2 linked regions of the Stegostoma tigrinum genome follow. The protein of the gene in region 1 interacts with the protein of each later gene in a biochemical or structural test. Links are inferred from orthologs where the notes say so. Each region holds a gene or a part of one and is shown on either strand. Other genes may lie near its edges.

The links.
Region 2: the proteins of raraa (region 1) and nuclear receptor-interacting protein 1-like form a complex in vitro, tested with the Homo sapiens proteins (4 studies listed by BioGRID). The link is inferred for Stegostoma tigrinum from reciprocal best matches to the Homo sapiens genes RARA and NRIP1.

The regions. Positions count from the first base shown.
Region 1 is NC_081384.1:11,679,135-11,688,127, reverse strand, and holds the start of raraa (retinoic acid receptor alpha-A), read left to right. Parts: upstream 1-5,238; 5' UTR 5,239-5,346; intron 5,347-8,993. UniProt on the Homo sapiens protein: Receptor for retinoic acid. Retinoic acid receptors bind as heterodimers to their target response elements in response to their ligands, all-trans or 9-cis retinoic acid, and regulate gene expression in various biological processes.
Region 2 is NC_081365.1:8,054,649-8,062,687, reverse strand, and holds the start of nuclear receptor-interacting protein 1-like, read left to right. Parts: upstream 1-4,314; 5' UTR 4,315-4,351; intron 4,352-4,359; exon of another isoform or gene 4,360-4,601; intron 4,602-4,933; exon of another isoform or gene 4,934-5,028; 5' UTR 5,029-5,106; intron 5,107-5,353; exon of another isoform or gene 5,354-5,414; intron 5,415-8,039. UniProt on the Homo sapiens protein: Modulates transcriptional activation by steroid receptors such as NR3C1, NR3C2 and ESR1. Also modulates transcriptional repression by nuclear hormone receptors.

The sequences.
Region 1 (8,993 bases):
TCTTGTCTAGTTTCAGTGGTCCCTTACCAAATAGTATAAGCCCTTGGTGACATTGAAAGAAATATTCTAGTGGCGCTGAGAAACCAGCATCTGTTTTAGTAAAGCGGAGTGAGCAAGATTGTTTTTATATTTTTACATTTAATTTTTTACACCTATGTTAAACTCTGGAATTCCCTTTCTGAACCTCTCCTGCCTTTCCCTTGTTCTGTCCACTTTAAAAACTAAGTTTGAAAACCTAAATTTTTGATTGAGCCCCTTTACATGGTTTGGTGTCTAATTTTGTTTGAAAACACTCCTGTGAAGTGCCCTGAAAAACCTTGCCATTACCAGGCACTACACAAATGCATGCTGTTGTCAACCTGTTTGTATGGAAAATATTCTGCTTCTTATCCAATTTGCTTTTATCTGGCAGTCACCATGACAACGTGTTTGAGAAGTGACTAAACTCTTCAAACGTGTCAGGAGATGAGAGAGACAGGACAGTACTGGGTCTCCACTATGGGTGGTGTGTTTGTAATCACACAGTGCCTCTAGGCTATTTTAAATTAATCCAGTGTGTGGCAAGACTTCAGAGAAATAAATTTGGTTATATGCAAGTTGGTTGAACACTAATTAACTCATCTTATTTACACGTTAAAAGGAATGAACACAGGATAGCACACTCAAAGAAATCCCTTAATGCTGCCAAGTTCCCCTCTGCATTTTCTCACTTCTTCTGCTCTAGGGAGGACATCTATAGTTCCCATCACTGAAAGGGAATCCTTTTTTTAACATTCTTTTGTAAAATCTGTCCTCTTCACCAACCTTGCCCCTTTTTTAAATTAAGGAAAGGGAATTCTTGACTTTTATGGTTGTATTAACTGAACACTCTATGAGCTAAAAAGATGAAGGAAAATTTCTGCAGGAATTATATTATATGAACACTTTTCAACACTGGCTTGAAATTTTTTTTATCTGTGGAATTTTTATGAAAAATCCACAAGTACTTTGAGACATTATTGTACATAGTAGTGATTTGTATTTAACTGAACACGACTACAGAAACCTTTCTGTATGGGATAGTGCAGTTTTCGCTATAATAGAAGGCAGCCATTAATCTTGGGTTTGAGAATGGAATTCTGAAACTTCAAATAAAGGTCAAGCTGCCAATCACCAAATGTAACTGTCTTCTTAAAAAAAACTTTGATATTAAATTTATATATTTTTTTCCTCTTAGGGTGTGATGGCTAACAGCAACAGGGGCTTTCCTGTGACTTGAACTGAACTGTTACCTATCACAGGATGAGATGGTCCTTGCTTATGAGATGTATTCTGTTGTAAATTGCAGCTCTGGCATGCATGAGGACCTAGTTCTGTTGACAGTGTGTGTAGGCCCTAGGAACTTCCACTGGAGGAGGTGAGTTCTAGGGCCCTGCAGTGAAGAAGTGGATGATCCAACTGGCATTAGGAGTCACCTGCATGGGCAGACAGGTGGGCAGGCACTAGGAATTAACAGCTATAACATTGTCAGTCAATAGAACCCAGACAAGCTGACCCCAGGAGGGGTAGGCTAGCTCTTGCACCAATCCGTGTTGCTTAAATGGCCGGGGTCTAGGACCATGCTGCACTAAGACAGGGTTGCTAGTCCTACTGAAACCAGGAGGGCAGGTGTACACTAGTACCCATTCACGCTGACAATAGACTGACGAGAACCTTGCAGTGCTGGCCCTGGGAGGTGCAAAGACAGGCAGGCACTAGAACCCAGCTGTACGGCTCTGGCAAGAACTGGCACTACTATGTTTTAGTGCCAGCCCAACTGCTCTCCAGGGGGACAGATACTAGGATCCAGTAGAGCCCACTCGAACTGGCTGGAACAATGAGCACTAGAACCTGGCAGTGCAGACCCCAGCAGGTAGTCAGGAGAATGGGCACTGGGACCCAGCACTTCTCGCTCCAGAAAGCATATGGTAGGAGAGCCCAAGGACCCAAGTGTTGATTTTTGCTTGTACTGGAAGACCGCCATTCACTTGTACCTGACAATGCCAGCTTTGGTAGGTGGATGGTGGGTATTAGGACCCAGTGCTATGGCCTCTGACAGGCATTACGACCCAGCAGAGTCAGATTTGGTAAGAAGGTGGTGGGCACTAGGCCCCAGTGGTGCCAGTTCTGGCAGGCAGTATAACTTGGTGATAATGGGGTGCAGAGCTGGATGAACACAGCAGGCCAAGCAGCTTCAGAGGAGCAGGAAAGCTGTCATTTTGGGTCTCGACCATTCTCCAGAAATGGGGGAGGGGAAGGAGATCCTAAAATAAATAGGGACAGAGGGGGAGGAAGATCAAAGATGGATAGAGAAGATAGGTGGAGAGGAGACAGACAAGTTAAAGGGGCAGGGATGGAGCCAGGAGAGGTGAGTGTAGGCAGGGAGGGGATAGGTCAGTCCAGGGAGGATGGACAGGTCAAGCAGGCGGGATGAGGTTAGTAGGTAGGAGATGGGAGTGGGAGGAGGGGACAGTTGGGAGGAAGAACAGGTTAGGGAGGCGGGGATGAGCTGGGCCGCTTTTGGGATGCGGTAGGGGGAGGGGAGATTTTGAAGCTTATGAAGTCCACCTTGATACCATTGGGTTGCAGTGTTCCCAAGAGGATTATGAGTTGCTGTTCCTGCAACCTTTGGGTGGCATCAATGTGGCACTGCAGGAGGCCCAGGATGGACATTGTCTGAGGAATGGGAGGGGGAGTTGAAATGGTTTGTGACTGGGAGGTGCAGTTGTTTATGGCGAACCAAGCGTAGGTGTTCTGCAAAGTGGTCCCCAAGCCTCCGCTTGGTGTTCCCCGATTATAGAGGAGGCCACAACGATGCAGTATATCACAATGGCAGATGTGCAGGTGAACATCTGCTTGATGTGGAAAGTCTTCTTGGGGCCTTGGATGGGGGTGAGGGGGGAGGTGTAGGGGTAGGTGTAGCTCTTCCTGCGGTTGCAGGGAAAAGTGATGAGTGTGGTGGATGGGAGGGGAGTGTGGAGTGGACAAGGGAGTCACAGAGAGAGTGGTCCCTTCAGAAGGCAGATAAAGCTGGAGAGAGAAAAATGTCTTTGGTGGGGTCAGATTGCAGATTGCAGATGGCAGAAGTGTTGGATGATGATGTGTTGGATCCAGAGGTTGGTGGGGTGGTATGTGAGGATGAGGCAGATTCTGTTTTGGTTGTTATTGCGGGGAGGGGATGTAAGGGATGAGATGCAGGAGATACTGTTGAGGGCGTTCTTGCCCACTGAGGGCAGAGGGAAGTTGCCGTCCTTGAAAAATGAGGACATCTGACATGTACGGGAGTGGAATGCTTCATTGTGGGAGCAGTTGTGATGGAGGTTAAGGAATTGGGAATAGGGGATGGCGTTTTTGCCGGAAGGTGGGTGGGAGGTGGTGTATTCTAGGTAGCTGTGGTGGGCTTGAATGGATATTGGTTTCTAGGTGGTTGCCAGAGATGGAGACAGAGGAGACCAGGAAGGAGAGAGAGGTTTTGGAGATGTTCCAGGTGAACTTAAGGTTGGGGAGGAAGGTTTTGGTGAAGTGGATGAACTGTTTGAGCTCCTCCATAGGAGCACAAGGCAGTGCTGATACAGTCATTGATGTAATGGAGGAAGAGGTGGGATTTAGGGCCAGTGTAGGCATGGAAGAGGGACTGTTCTACGTAACCTACAAAGAGGCAGGTGTAGCTTGAGGCCATGGGGGTATCCATTGCTACCTCCTTTGTTTGTAGGAAGTGGGAGGATTGAAAGAAAAGTTGTTGAGGGTGAGGATCAGTTCCGCTGGGCAGATGAGGGTGTCAGTGGAGGGGGACTGGTCGGGCCTGCAGGACAGGAAGAAGGGGAGGGCCCTCAGACCATTTGCATAAGGAATGCAGGTGTACAGGGACTGGACACCCATACTGAAACAGGTGTTTGGGGACTGGGGAATTGGAAGTTCTGGAGGAGGTGGAGCCCGGGTGGTGTCACGGACGTAGGTAGCGGGTTCCTGAACCAAGGGGTAGAAAATGGAGTTGAGATAGGTGGAGATGAGTTCAGTGGGGCAGGAGCAGGCCGAGATAATGGGTTGACCAGGCTAGTAGGCTTTGTGGATTTTGGAAAGGAGATAGAAGAGAGGGGTGCAGTGTTAGGGAATGATGAGGTTGGATGCTGTGGGTGTAGGTCACCTGAGGTGATGAGGTTGTGGATGGTTTGGGAGATGATGGTTTGGTGGTTGGGGGTGGGGGCATGATCAAGGCGGGGTTAGGAGGAGGTGTCGGAGAGTTGTTGCCTGGCCTCAGTGATGGGGAGGTCAGTGTGCCATACTACAACTGCGCCTCCCTTGTCCGCGCATTTTATGATGAGGTTGGGATTGGAGTGGAGGGCTGCAGTTTCTGTGGGGGAGAGATTGAGGCGATTGATGACTTGGCAGCAGTTGGAGATGAAGAGGTCAAGGGAAGGTAGGAGGCCTTGGGGTGGTGTCCAGGAGGAGAGGGTGTGTTGGAGGTGGGAGAAGGGGTCAGTAGATGGAGGGTTAGGCTCACAGTTAAAGAAGTAAATATGGTGGCAGAGGCTCCCTATCTCCTCCCTGCCTAATTCACCTACATTCATGGCTCTATCCTGGCCTCTTTGACCTGTCTGTCTCCTCTTCCCCCTACCTTCTCCTCTATCTGCCTTCTATCTGCTACCCCATCTCTCCCTATTTATTGCAGAACCCTCTCCCCATCCCCCATTTCTGAAGAAGGGTCAAGGCCTGAAACGTCAGCCTTCCTGCTCCTAAGATGCTGCTTGGCCTGCTGCTTCTATCTAGCTCTGCACCCTGTTATCTCAGACAGTCCAGTATCTGCATTTCCTGCTTTCTCAGACTCAGTGGTATCTGCTCAGGTGCGCACGAGAACCAGTGATGTCAGCTCTGCCAGGCACTAGGACCCACTTGTGCCAGCTGTGGTGTGTGGGCTGGGGTGCACTAGCACCCCCTGGTACCAGCTCTGGTGGGTGGGCAGGCAGGAAAGCATTGGGTACTAGGACCCACTTGTGCCAGTTCTTGTGTGGGCTGGTGGGCACTAGGATCCAGTGGTGTCACCTTGAGCAGGAGGAGGGCATTGGGCCCTAGGACCCAGTGGTGCCAGCTTGGGCAGGAGGAGGGGGTAGGGCACTAGGACCCAGTGGTGCCAGCTTGGGTGGGCAGGAGGCGTGGGTAGGGCACTAGGACCCAGCGGTGCCAGCTCTGACAGGCAGGAGGAGGGGGTAGGGCACTAGGACCCAGCGGTGCCAGCTCCGGCCGGCGGGCGGGCGGTCGGTCCCGGGTTGTCCTGGAGCGTCTCTGAGGAGCCGCCGGATCTGAGTCGCAGGCGCCTGCCGGCTGCAGACAGTGAGTTTTTACAGACCCCCTCGGGCTCGCAGACAGGCACGGAGCAGGGGGATTCGGGGGGCGGTATCTGGTTCGGTGCCGGGTTGGGGACCGAGGCTGCCGGCGTTACCCTCTCAACTTTCCCGTGAGCGGGGCTTCCTCGGGCCGGGCAGCCCAGCCGGCACTCACCGAGAGGCGGGGAAGAGGCAAATCGAGAGGCGGGGCTGCAGGATGTCCCAGGCGGGGCCTAGGAGTAGCCAGGGAGAAATTTAAATCCTGCCTGTGAAACTTTATCAAAGGTAGCAGCAGCTCCCCAGAAACTGTCCCAGTGGGTCTGGAAGAGGATGGTCTCTTCCTTTTAAAAGTTTATCTGGTTTATCAGCAATTAGCTCTGGTTTTGAATTTCCCAGTGGATTTTAGCTGCAAAAATGTTTGTTTTCGCAGTCATCTTGTGGAAAATATTTATAGTTTGAGGCAAAAACCAGGCATCTCACCCACGGGGTAGTTTTACTTTACTTGTCAGTTTCTTTTGAAGTGAGTTGTTGCAAAGAATGTTTTCTGTGCTTTCTTCTGAAGTATTTGCATGGTTAATTGTGAATGTCTGTGCATTTCCACTATTTTGCATCTGTTTTCTTCTCCCCTCTTTTAAGATCTGTTCTCTGAATCTGAAGGTTTTAGGCCCAATATCCCACCCCAGGATTTCAGTGAAATATAGGCTGACACTCCCAGTGCAGTGCTGACGGAGTGTTGCATTGTCACCGATGCCATCGTTCACATCACAATATTAAACCAAGACCCTGTTGGCCCCTTCAGTTAGGTTTTAAACAGTTTCCCTGGTGTCCTAGGATGGTCAGTAACTATTCTTTGATCATCATCAATTAAAAAAATGATCTAGCCACAATAGGAATGCTGTTTGTGGGATCTTGCAATGCACAAATTGGCTGCCACTTTTCCTGCATTTTGCCAGTGACTGCAATGAAAAAATTTTTTCTGGATATCTTGTCCTGCAGATTTCATGCTGGTTACCACTGCTGCCGCACAGCTCCAGGGACCTGGGTTTGGTTCCACCCTCGGGCTGCATTGAGTTTGCACATTCTCCCTGTGTCTGCGTGGATTTCCACCAGGTGCTCTGGTTTCCTCGCACAGTCCAAAGATGTACAGGCTAGGTGGATTGGCCGTGCTAAATTTCCCGTAGTGTTCAGGGATGTGTAGATTAGGTGGTTTATAGGGGGATGGGTCTGGGTGGGATGTTCTGAGGGTCGATATGGACTCGCCGGGCCAAAAGGCCTGTTTCCACACTGTAGGGATTCTATGATCCTATGAAAAGGTGAAACTGTAGTGTCCACCTCAAGTCAACTCGCTTAGCATTGAGACATGTAGTACTCAAAATCAGCTCCACCAGACAGGATCTATTGTTTGTGTACCTGACACCGGACACCTGAAGCAACTGCCCCATTTCAACTCGGTCATGACAGAAAGGCCACAAGAGAAGGCAGTGAATACATTGAGAGATTTCATTGGGAACATACGGAGTCAAAGTCCATGTTTCAGAGGATGCACACAAATCTTGAAACAAGTCATCTATCTGACTGTTCAAACACTATTTACCCCACCTATGCCAGGATCTGCAGATGGCATTTTGAATTTGTCAGAAATCTCTGATCCCATCCAACCAGAATGGACATGTGTCATCCTGAGAAACTGCCCGTGAAGAGATGAATTCTGAAGTAACCTGTGTTTGCTTCCCCTGAAGGTAGTCAGCACTTTACTGTGATCTGGCTCCACCGATGCCAGTCACTGCCTGATGCCTTGTTGAAGTTGTTTTTAATCCATGTTTTGGGCAGTGAGAGTTAGTACGTTACTGGCATCTGGATTGTCACTGTGTTTTCACCTGATGTCAAAGGCACGCTGTCCCAACATGGGCTCACTAGTTAACAAACAAGCAAAAACCTTAGATGGTAATATTCACCAGCCAGTTTATTTACTTGCTGTGTAAAAATTGGATCACACAACCAAAACTTGCAGGTTTCTTCACTGGCTCCTGCTGAAACAGGATGAGTGCGAGTTATCATAGTCGACCTCAACCCCTTGATTGAGGGCTGGGAAGAGTTTGAAGTCTGTCCTGCCTTGTGATGGAAGTAGGTTGGGTGCTCAGTGAGGTCTGGTTTATATTGAGTGCGATGCCTTCTGTGTTCAAAAAGTTGGTCAGGGATCAGTGTTTTGTGCTGGCATGTTGAATGGCCATTCAGTTGAGGCATCAGATGCTATTGGTATTCATGCACTTCTGACTTCCAAAGGTTAGTACCTTTCAGAACGGATCAGGATTGGAAAAATTTCTAAACGCATACTATGAACCTAATTTAGATAAGTAACATCATTGATATCCTTGAGTGATTTCAAGTTTCTGAACTCATTGTCTAGTTGGGATAATTTATTTTAAACTGCAGAACATTGTTGCATTTTCCAACATCATCTGAGTCCCACTGAGTTTAATATTTTGTGATCAGCATAGCATCTCTATGATTCTCTGCTTGTACTACACTGGTGATAGAATTTCTCAGGAGATGAAGTTATGTTTGCATTGTCAGTTAGTAGCAATGACATTTACTGTTGTCATGAGCATCATTGGACATCCTTGTGTAACATGCGTTTGGACGCATACAGAAGCATAATTAGCAGAAAAAAGCTAAACTTGAAGTTGTAAGTATTTTTATATCGGAAGCACTTGTGTTTAAAGATCTTTCCAGTAATTTGGTTAACATTTCTCCTTTCAAATTACTATCTTGTATCTTATGTGATAGAATAATTGTTGCACTTTATTTAAAAAAAAGTTCTGTTACAATACAATATTTTTGATGCATAAAGCTTATTGCATTTATTTTATGTGTTCTATTTTTATGTTCTAAGGTCTGAAATAGGACTATGCTTTTATAAAGGCACACAACTTTTTATTCATTTTGGTTTAATCATAAATATTTATATATACATTATATTTTTTAAGAGTGCACATTTGGAAAAGAACATGCCTACAGACTTTTGCAAAGCTGCATTCTTCGCAGTTTTTTGTCTTTCATATTTCCCTAGTAGTTCAGTATAGCATTTGGTGTGATACTTAGTCATACAGATCACGTGTGATGTGGTAGTACCCTATTTTGTTGTATGGCTGTGTACCAGAATGGTTATTGTGATCTAGACTGACCTTTCAGTGAGGGAATGCTGCATTGTTGCTGGGACTGTCTTTCAGGGCTTTTAAACTGTGGCTCCATCAGTTGGATGTTGAAAATCCCTCAATTTTTCAAAGCTGTACTGGGAAGTTTCCTCAGTGCCCTCGCCGACATTGATGTTCCTTGTGGATCAATGCAGATTATTTGGTCATTTGTCTGGGTGCTGTCTGTGGGGTGTTGCTGTGCATTAATTAGCTACTGCATTTGCTTATAAAGTAACAGTGACTGCATGTCAAAGGTGATTCATTTGGCTTGAATGTTTCTTAGGACTTTCCAAGGATGTGAAAGGACCTAGTAAGTGCAACATTTCTTTTCCTCTTTCCTGTCTAACTGTTATCTAGTTAAGATTTTACGTCAAAGTTCTTGGATTGTTATCCTGGCGTTGTTGAGCAAGAACAGGATGTTTTTGTGATTGACCTGCCCACTGCTTCTCTCTGTCTAAAT
Region 2 (8,039 bases), on another chromosome or scaffold:
ATAGGTGAGAGGAAGAACAGGTTAGGGAGGCGGGGATGAGCTGGGCTGGTTTTATCAATGTGGATTTCACAAGCTTCAAAATGGGCCTCCCCCCACTGCATCCCAAAATACAATAATATACAATAAATGATATACAATAACCCAGCCTCAATAGAAAATTCCACAGATTCAAAACCCCTGAGAGATGGACAGAATTTTAATCAATAAGGGAAAGAAAAGTTATGGAGAAAAGGCAGGAAAATTGAATTGTGGATTAATCGACCAGCCATGAGCTTATTGGATGACAGAATAGGCTTATTGGGCTGAATGGCCTCCTTCTGCTCTTGCATCTTATGTTCTAAACTTTCCTTTACAGATAACAGTCTAAGTACCTCTTGAAAAGCTTGATTGAACCTGCCTCCACCACACTTTCATTACCAGTGCATTCCAGACCCTAATTACTTGTTAAGTGAAACTCTTTTAGTCTCAGTTCACTTTTACTTCTTTTGCCAAATGCCTTAAGTCTGTGGCCTCTCGATCTTTTCATGAGTGGGAATAGTGTGTCATTATCTGCAGGGAGAGGAAACAACAGCTTTCCAGATCCAGGTCACATTTTGGATTTTTATATATTCATTCTTGGATGCGGATGTTATTGGCGGGGCCAACATTTATCTCCTTCCAAAGGGTCACTAATATTTACAATTCTCCTTCCAGGAGGCTGAGTCATTGAATACATTCAAGACAGAGATTAGATCAACAAAAGAGTCAACACATATGAGCAGCAGGCAAGAAAGGAGTGTTGAGACCAATCAGGTTAGCAATGATGCAATTGAATAGTACAGGAGGCTTGACGGGCTGAATGGCCTCCTCCTGGCCTTATTTTTGATGCTCACATGCCCTTGATCTGAGTGCCTTGCTCAGTCTGTACCAAGGTCAGTTGCAAGTCAGCTACATTGCTGTGGGTCTGGAGTCACAAGTAGCCTAGACCAGGTAAGGATGGCAGATTTCCTTCTCTAAAGGACATTAGTGAACCAGATGGAGTTTTTGAAACAATAATTTGGCAGATTCATGATCAGTCGAAATCACCTTAGAATTTTATTGATGATGAATTTATGAATTCCATTGAAATGCCTCCAGCTGCCAGGTGGCATTTGAATGCTTGTCTCCTGGGTATTAGTGCAGGTGCCTGGATTCTGAAGCAGATTCAGGTCTGCCAGTTCTGAAGGGTCACAGGACCTGAAACGTTAACTCTGCTTTCTGTCTCCATTGATGCTGCCAGACTGGCTGAGTTTCTCCAGCAATTTCTGGTTTTGTCGCAGACTTCCACTGTTCACAGTTCATTATTTGACAATAAATCTGGGTTATTGGTGTTAGCTCACACCACCACCAGCCACTCTCCCTCCCAAGTGCCTCACACCACCTCTTCTTTTGCTCAACGTTGAGTTAACTGTGGTGTTTGATTGAAGGAAAGTGTGATAGCAACATCTGACAGAAAATGTTATATTTTTGATGGGCAACCATTGTTGAAATGGTCAAAACATGGCGCGACTTTGCATGAAGCAAGGTCTCACAAGCAATAAGGTGGGAAAGGCCCAATTTTCTGGCTGGAACGATATGATTTGAGGATAAATGCCAGGCCACCTAGGGGCTTCTCCTTTGACGAAGTGGCCTATGAAAGTTTTTAGAATCCACCTAAGGAATCAATCAGGTCCTCAATTTAAATGTTTACCCGAATGCAGGCACTTCCAACATTGCAGGATGGCCCTTAGGCTGCAGCCCATGTCTTAGGAGTGGGTCTCAAACCTATAACCATCTAGCACAGAGCTGAGCGTGTCACAAAAGGCCACTGCAAATTTTTGTAGACGTTGGATGGCACAGTGGCTGAGGTTAGCAGTGCTGCCTTACAGTGCTAGAGGCCTGGGTTCAATCCTAGCCTCAGGCAACTATCTGTATGGAGCCCAAGCTTGTGCAGTTTAGGTGGATTGGCTTTGCCATAGTGCCCAGGAATGAGTGAGTTAAGTAGATTAGCCAAGGGCAATAGGGTAGGGGGTGTGCGTCTGGGTGGGATGCTCTTTGGAGAGTCAGTGTGGACTTGTTTGGCCAAATGGCCTATCCCACACTGTAGGGGCTAAACTAAATACAAAATGCTGGAGAGTTTAAACATGAACTGTTAAGCGCAAGTGAAACTTGGCAGGTCTGGCAATGTCTGTGGAGAGAGAAACAAAGTTCGCATTTTGCCTCTAGCGTAACTTCTTCCGAGGAGAGGGATTTTGAAACATTAACTATGTCTCTCTCATCAAACGTGCTGTCAGCCTTTTAATGGAGTAGATGTGGTAATGTCACTGGGCTAGTGATCTCAGCACCTACATATTGGTTCAAATTCCAGATAGTGGAATTGAAATTTAGTCGGAATCTGCAATATCAGAAGCTCGTCTAATTATGACCATGTAACTTCTGTTGAATTGTTGATTTAAAACAAATCTGATCCACCAATACCCTTTAGAAAAGGAAATCTGTTATTCTAATCTGGTCTGACCTGCTTGTGATTCCGTGGGGTTGATTCTTCACTGCACTTAGGATAATAAATACTGGCCTAATCAATAACTCCCATGAATGAAAGTAAAAGCACATTAACTGTGAAAACAACACACAATTTATAAAACATGCAGTTTCAGGCAATTTTCTCCAAGTCATAACAGCAGAAACAAAATTCTACCAATTTTCAGAACTAAAGTACCGCAGCTGTTGAAAACCTGAAATGTAAACAGCAAGTACTGGAGAAACTCAGCATGTCTGGCAACATCAGTGGAGAGAAAAACAGAGTTTAAGTTTTGTAATGTAACCCCTTTTCCCTTTGTAAATTAAGTTTTATCACTGTTAATTACTGGACCTGAAACACTAACTCTGCGTTCTCTCCACAGATGCTGCCAGGCCAACTGCATTTCTCCAGCAGTTCCTGTCTTTGTTTTTTATTCCCAGCACCTGCATTGGATTTTTCAGCGGGTTTATTTTAACAATTGACAATAGTTACATCGTCTCTCCTAGACTAGTTTCTCTTTGTCCCAGACCTATCAGTAAAACTGCAAGATTACGAACTGGGGTTGTAGCCTTGGAGATGCTGCCTGATCCATTGTGTTTCCAGAAGGTTCTGTTGGTACTTCTCCTTATTTGCCCTGTTTAATGTTGTTTTGCACAGTTTCACTTGCACAGACCGTAATCTTATTGCTGTTGGAAAAGCTCAGCAGGTCTGGCAGCATCTGTGAAGGAGAAAACAGAGTTGACGTTTCCGGTCTGGTGACCCTTCCTCATAACCCTTCCTCAGGTGACTGGACCCCGAAACGTTAACTCTGTTTTCACCTCCACAGATGCTGCCAGACCTGCTGAGCTTTTCCAGCAACTTTGTTTTTGTTCCTGATTTACAGCATCCACAGTTGTTTTGGTTTTTATCTTATTGCTGTTTGTGGGAGCTTGCTGTGCGTCTAAATGGTTCCCTATGTGACAAACAGGGTAACACAAAAGCAACATACCCGCATCTTGCCATGAAGAGGCTTTTGAAAGTCCTGAGGTCATAGAATTTTACAGTACACAAAGAGGCCATTCAACCCATTGAGTGAGTACAGGCTCCCAAAAGATCTACCCAGCTAATCCCATTCTCCAGCTTTGTTGCTGTAGCCCTCTAAATTCGTCACTTTCAGATATATATCCAGCTCCTTTTTGAAACCTCCCATGGAATCGACCTCCACCACTCTCCCGGTTAGCACATTCCAAATCCCAACAACTCTCTGAGTAAAGAAGTTTCTCCTCATCTCTCTCCTAGCTGTCTTGCTGACAATCTTGAAATTGTGACCCCTAGTTACTGATCTACCAACTAGTGAAAACAGGTTATCCCCCTTTACCCTGTCAAAATTGTTCATAATTTTGAAAACCTCAATAAGGTCACCTCTCTGCACCAAGGAGGATAAGCTCAATCTCTCTACTCTTTATGAAAACAAGAATTGGAGTGGGTTAGGCAGTATCCGTGGAAAGAAAACAAGCTCCTTTGTTATTGGCTTTCAGCTCAGCACTCAGCATCTGCAATAATTTGCTCCTTCTCTAATCTTCCCTTTGATTCCAAAATTACTCATTCCAGTAAGTCTCCATTCCACTCTCTCCGGGGCTTCAACATCCTTCCTTCAGTAAAACGCCGGGAATTAAACACTCCGGCGTGTGGCCGCGACAGGCGCTATGCAAACGCAAATGCTTCCTGGCGCTGGAAACTGGAGAGGGCGAAGGGAGAAACACAAAGGGTCGTAAGAAAGACGAATTAAGGGGGTGGGGGGAGAAGTCAGAGAGAAGGGACCGGGGTGGTGTGTGAGCAGGACGAAAAATGTTGGTGAGAGAATATGCTGGCGAGGGTTTGCAATGTCAGCGGAGCTATGAGGTTGAGTAAATACTGTAAGCTCTACGCTCTGTGGGGCAGTCTGAATCCCAGAGTTTGCTCGTGTTGAGTGGTGGAGCTTTTAGCCTGTACTGTGTCGTGTGTGTGTGTGTGTGTGTTTTTCTAGATGTCTTCAATTGGGAGGTGCCGAGGCATTAGGTCGGCCTGGACTGCCTCATTCTCTGTTATAGCTTGACCGGAGAAGGTTTGTGTTTTGTGGGTGAGAGACAGAACCTCTTCAGAATTATTATTTGCCCCAATCTTCCAGCATTAATTTCACTCTTGATCATCATTAAGCCTTTGCTTTGATCTGTCCCCCTGCGTTTTTTTTCTTTCATTTTTAACACAAAATGTTGGATCGCGGGGCGCTCCAGGAGATACATTTTGCAACCCACGTTACTTTGTATTCCTGAAGCCGGCCTTTGAATCCAGTGTCTGTCGGTGGTGAGGTGCGGAGTGGGGAGGGGGGGGGGGGGGGTGTTAGTGGGAAGGGTTGTTTGTGAGGGTGTGGGGAGGGGGTCTTGGGACGGCGGGCGGTGGAGGGGAAGGATTGGTCGCTGATCCTGAATTAAACAAGGCAACAGCAACAACAAGCTGAGACATTTCCTTTGTAACCATTTGCAAAAAAAAAGAAAACTGCAGCGTTTCCTGATTTCTGGCTGGGATTCCCGGAGGTGCTGTGTAACCAAATAAAAAAAGGGGGAGATCAGGTAAGAGGACCAATCATTTATTTAAAACGTATTCTGGATCTGTTTGTATGTCATTTATTTTTTGAGGAAAAAAAAGACGCAGAGGATGGGTTGGATCGCGGGCCAAGTTAATTTCCGACTGGTGAAATTGACTTGGACTGCTGTTCTCACTTTCCCCAATCCCAGGGTATTTCTGTTTGGCGATCTCCAGTGCTGTCTGTACATTTCCGCCTCCTTCTTCATGCAAACCCTCCATCCGCAGAGAGGCCGTCAATACAAAGCATCTACCTTCATCACAATTAACCCACTGACATTTGGAGGGGAAATCAGTGAGCCTTTGTTGATTTGGAACCACTTATCATGCGCTTGTTTTTTTTTAAAAAAGCATTGTGTTGTTCAAGAATTAATATCGCTATTCTTTAGCCGGTTTGTGTTGTGTATGTGTGTGTCTCTGTGTATTTATATACCACATTTTGATATTTGGGCCTCTCAGCATTGTTTTTTCCAGCCTTTGACTTGTACTGACTGGGAGTTGCTAGCGTTTCGGTTATATCTTTTTTTTTAAACAATAAAGAATTTATTAATGCCCATTTTGAAAGAGCTGGTGTTAGCAATTTGTAAACTGGACTGTTTCGAACCGACTGCTCTGAAGTTGTTTCAATGTGGTCAGTGGTCAATGCACAGAGTCTACAGGGCGAATCATTTGAATTATATTAGCCACAAGCTATTGATTCAGTGTGTGGTTAATTTAATGTTTATATATCTATATAAAATCTGTATTTAATGGCCTTCAGTTGCTGAGATTTTGGTTTCTGTATATTCTCCTCTGACCCCCACTCACTTTCTATTCTGTTTTATCCCATTCCCAGTAACACTGAACCCTCTCCCTCCAGCCCCCTGTCCTTGAAAGGATTCTCTTCCACCCAATTCTGAGAGGTACCTATTGTGATTCCTGACCATTGTCAGCCTGTGGTTCAGTGCACTGTGGATGGCACCATTACGTCCTCATGTCCTCAGTGGAAGAGCTCCCCCCCCTCCCCGGACACCTTTCTTTTCCTTCTTGACTGTTCAAAGGCTTTCTCAAGTCAACATCCACTTGCATTCGTATGGTGCCTTAAGCCTCGTAAAATGCTGCAAGGCATTTCGAAGGAGACTGTCGAGGCAGGCACGTGCTTGGACACTGAAGCGATGGCACATCGCAGGATGCCAGGGGTGAGGACCGAAAGCTCGGTCAAGGATATAGATGTGTTGAACAAGGACGGGGAGAAACGTGGTGAGGCTCAGGAGGCAATTTCCACAGCTTGTGCACCATACCACCAAAAACACAGCCACCAAGCAAGTGTGAGGTGCCCAAGAGGCCAGAATAGCAAGTAGGCAGATTTCCCGAAGAATCACAGAAGTAGGAGAAGAGCAAGGCCAGGGAGGATTTGAAGATGAGGATGAGAACATTCAGATTAAGGTGTTGCTGAGAAGTGTTTTCTTATTAACTTTGGATGTAACTGTGGATTAGTCTTCTCATTTGTTTTGGCTGTGCGTGGTGTCTTTAAGGTTGACTTCGTGCCTCTGTAATCAATTGGGTCGCTGTAAACTTGACCATGTGTGTATGTGTGCACGTGCACATGCATACACACACACACACACACACACACACACACACACACAGAGTGTTACTGGAGTATGATCAAGAACAGGAAACTCCGCCAACTCTGAATCTGACTATAGTCCCAGTTAAGGTGAGCTAGTATGCTAAATACATAGAACTTAATTTTAAATTTTGAATTTCCCTGCTGTATATGGGTCCTTTAGTCTTCTGAAATATTGGAGTAATGTTTATTATCCCTACAGTATTTGCACTGCACAAAGTATTGTCACGATGAAACAGAAAGGATCCTTTTTATTTCATCACGCATGTTGCTGACAGGACAGGTATTTGTTACCCATCCCGAGGTTCCAAGGGAATGTGTTGTTAAGTTGACCTCATGAAGATTTAATGACACCAAGTATCTTGTCAGAAAACAAGACGGAGCTGTAGAGAATTATCAGGTGTGTCCAGAGCCACATTTAGGCCTGGCCCTTGTGAGATTGACCGTGTAAGTGAACATGAATATGGTCTTAATACAAACTTGACAGCTCCATGGTTGTTTTACTAGTGCTAGTTTGTTATTTTCAGATTTCTTTTAAAAAGAAGTCAATTTAGTTACAATGATGAGAGTGAGTTTGCTATCTCTGGGTGAAATTTAATTTTGTTCTCTCTGGACTATTAGTCTGACAACAAAACTATTGTACTGTGTGTATGTTAAGCTGTGTATTGTGCTCAGTATCTTTGTGGTGAGTGATTTATTTTGCACAGTAACTGAAGTTCCTTTACTCATTCCCAAAATAAGAGCATCGCTGAATAGGCAGCATTTATTGCCCATCCCTAATTGCCCAGAGGGCAGTTAAGAGCCACCCACATTGCTGTGGGTCTGGAGTCACATGTAGGCTAGACCAGGTAAGGATGGCAGTCTCAGGATTAATAGGCCATCAATAATACCAGTTAGTCATTGCCTTCCCCCATGTTTAATGTAGCTGTGGTGGCCCTATATGGCTGTCTGTCGAGAATGTTCTGGAACTGGTCTTGCTGCCCCTGGACTAGAAAAGGGGGAAAACTCCATCAGGTTTCCTGCTACCTAGCGCTGCATGCTAGGAAGTTGACCAGAGATGGGGTTGGTTGCTGTAATTATGCTTCCCAGTTCATTGCCTCCCTGCAGTCTGTGACCACTGGGGGCAAGTATCTACAGGGCATCATTAGACCATGGGTCCTGTCCCTACCTCTTGGCCAGAAGCTTTGGGTTTTCTCCCTTTGAGGAATAAGGAAGATGCACTCATAACACTGCCCAATCGGTTGAGCGGCATCCTGCGAATCCCCCCGGCATATACCAATGGCAGGCTGCCTTCGAGTCCTATAGTACAGA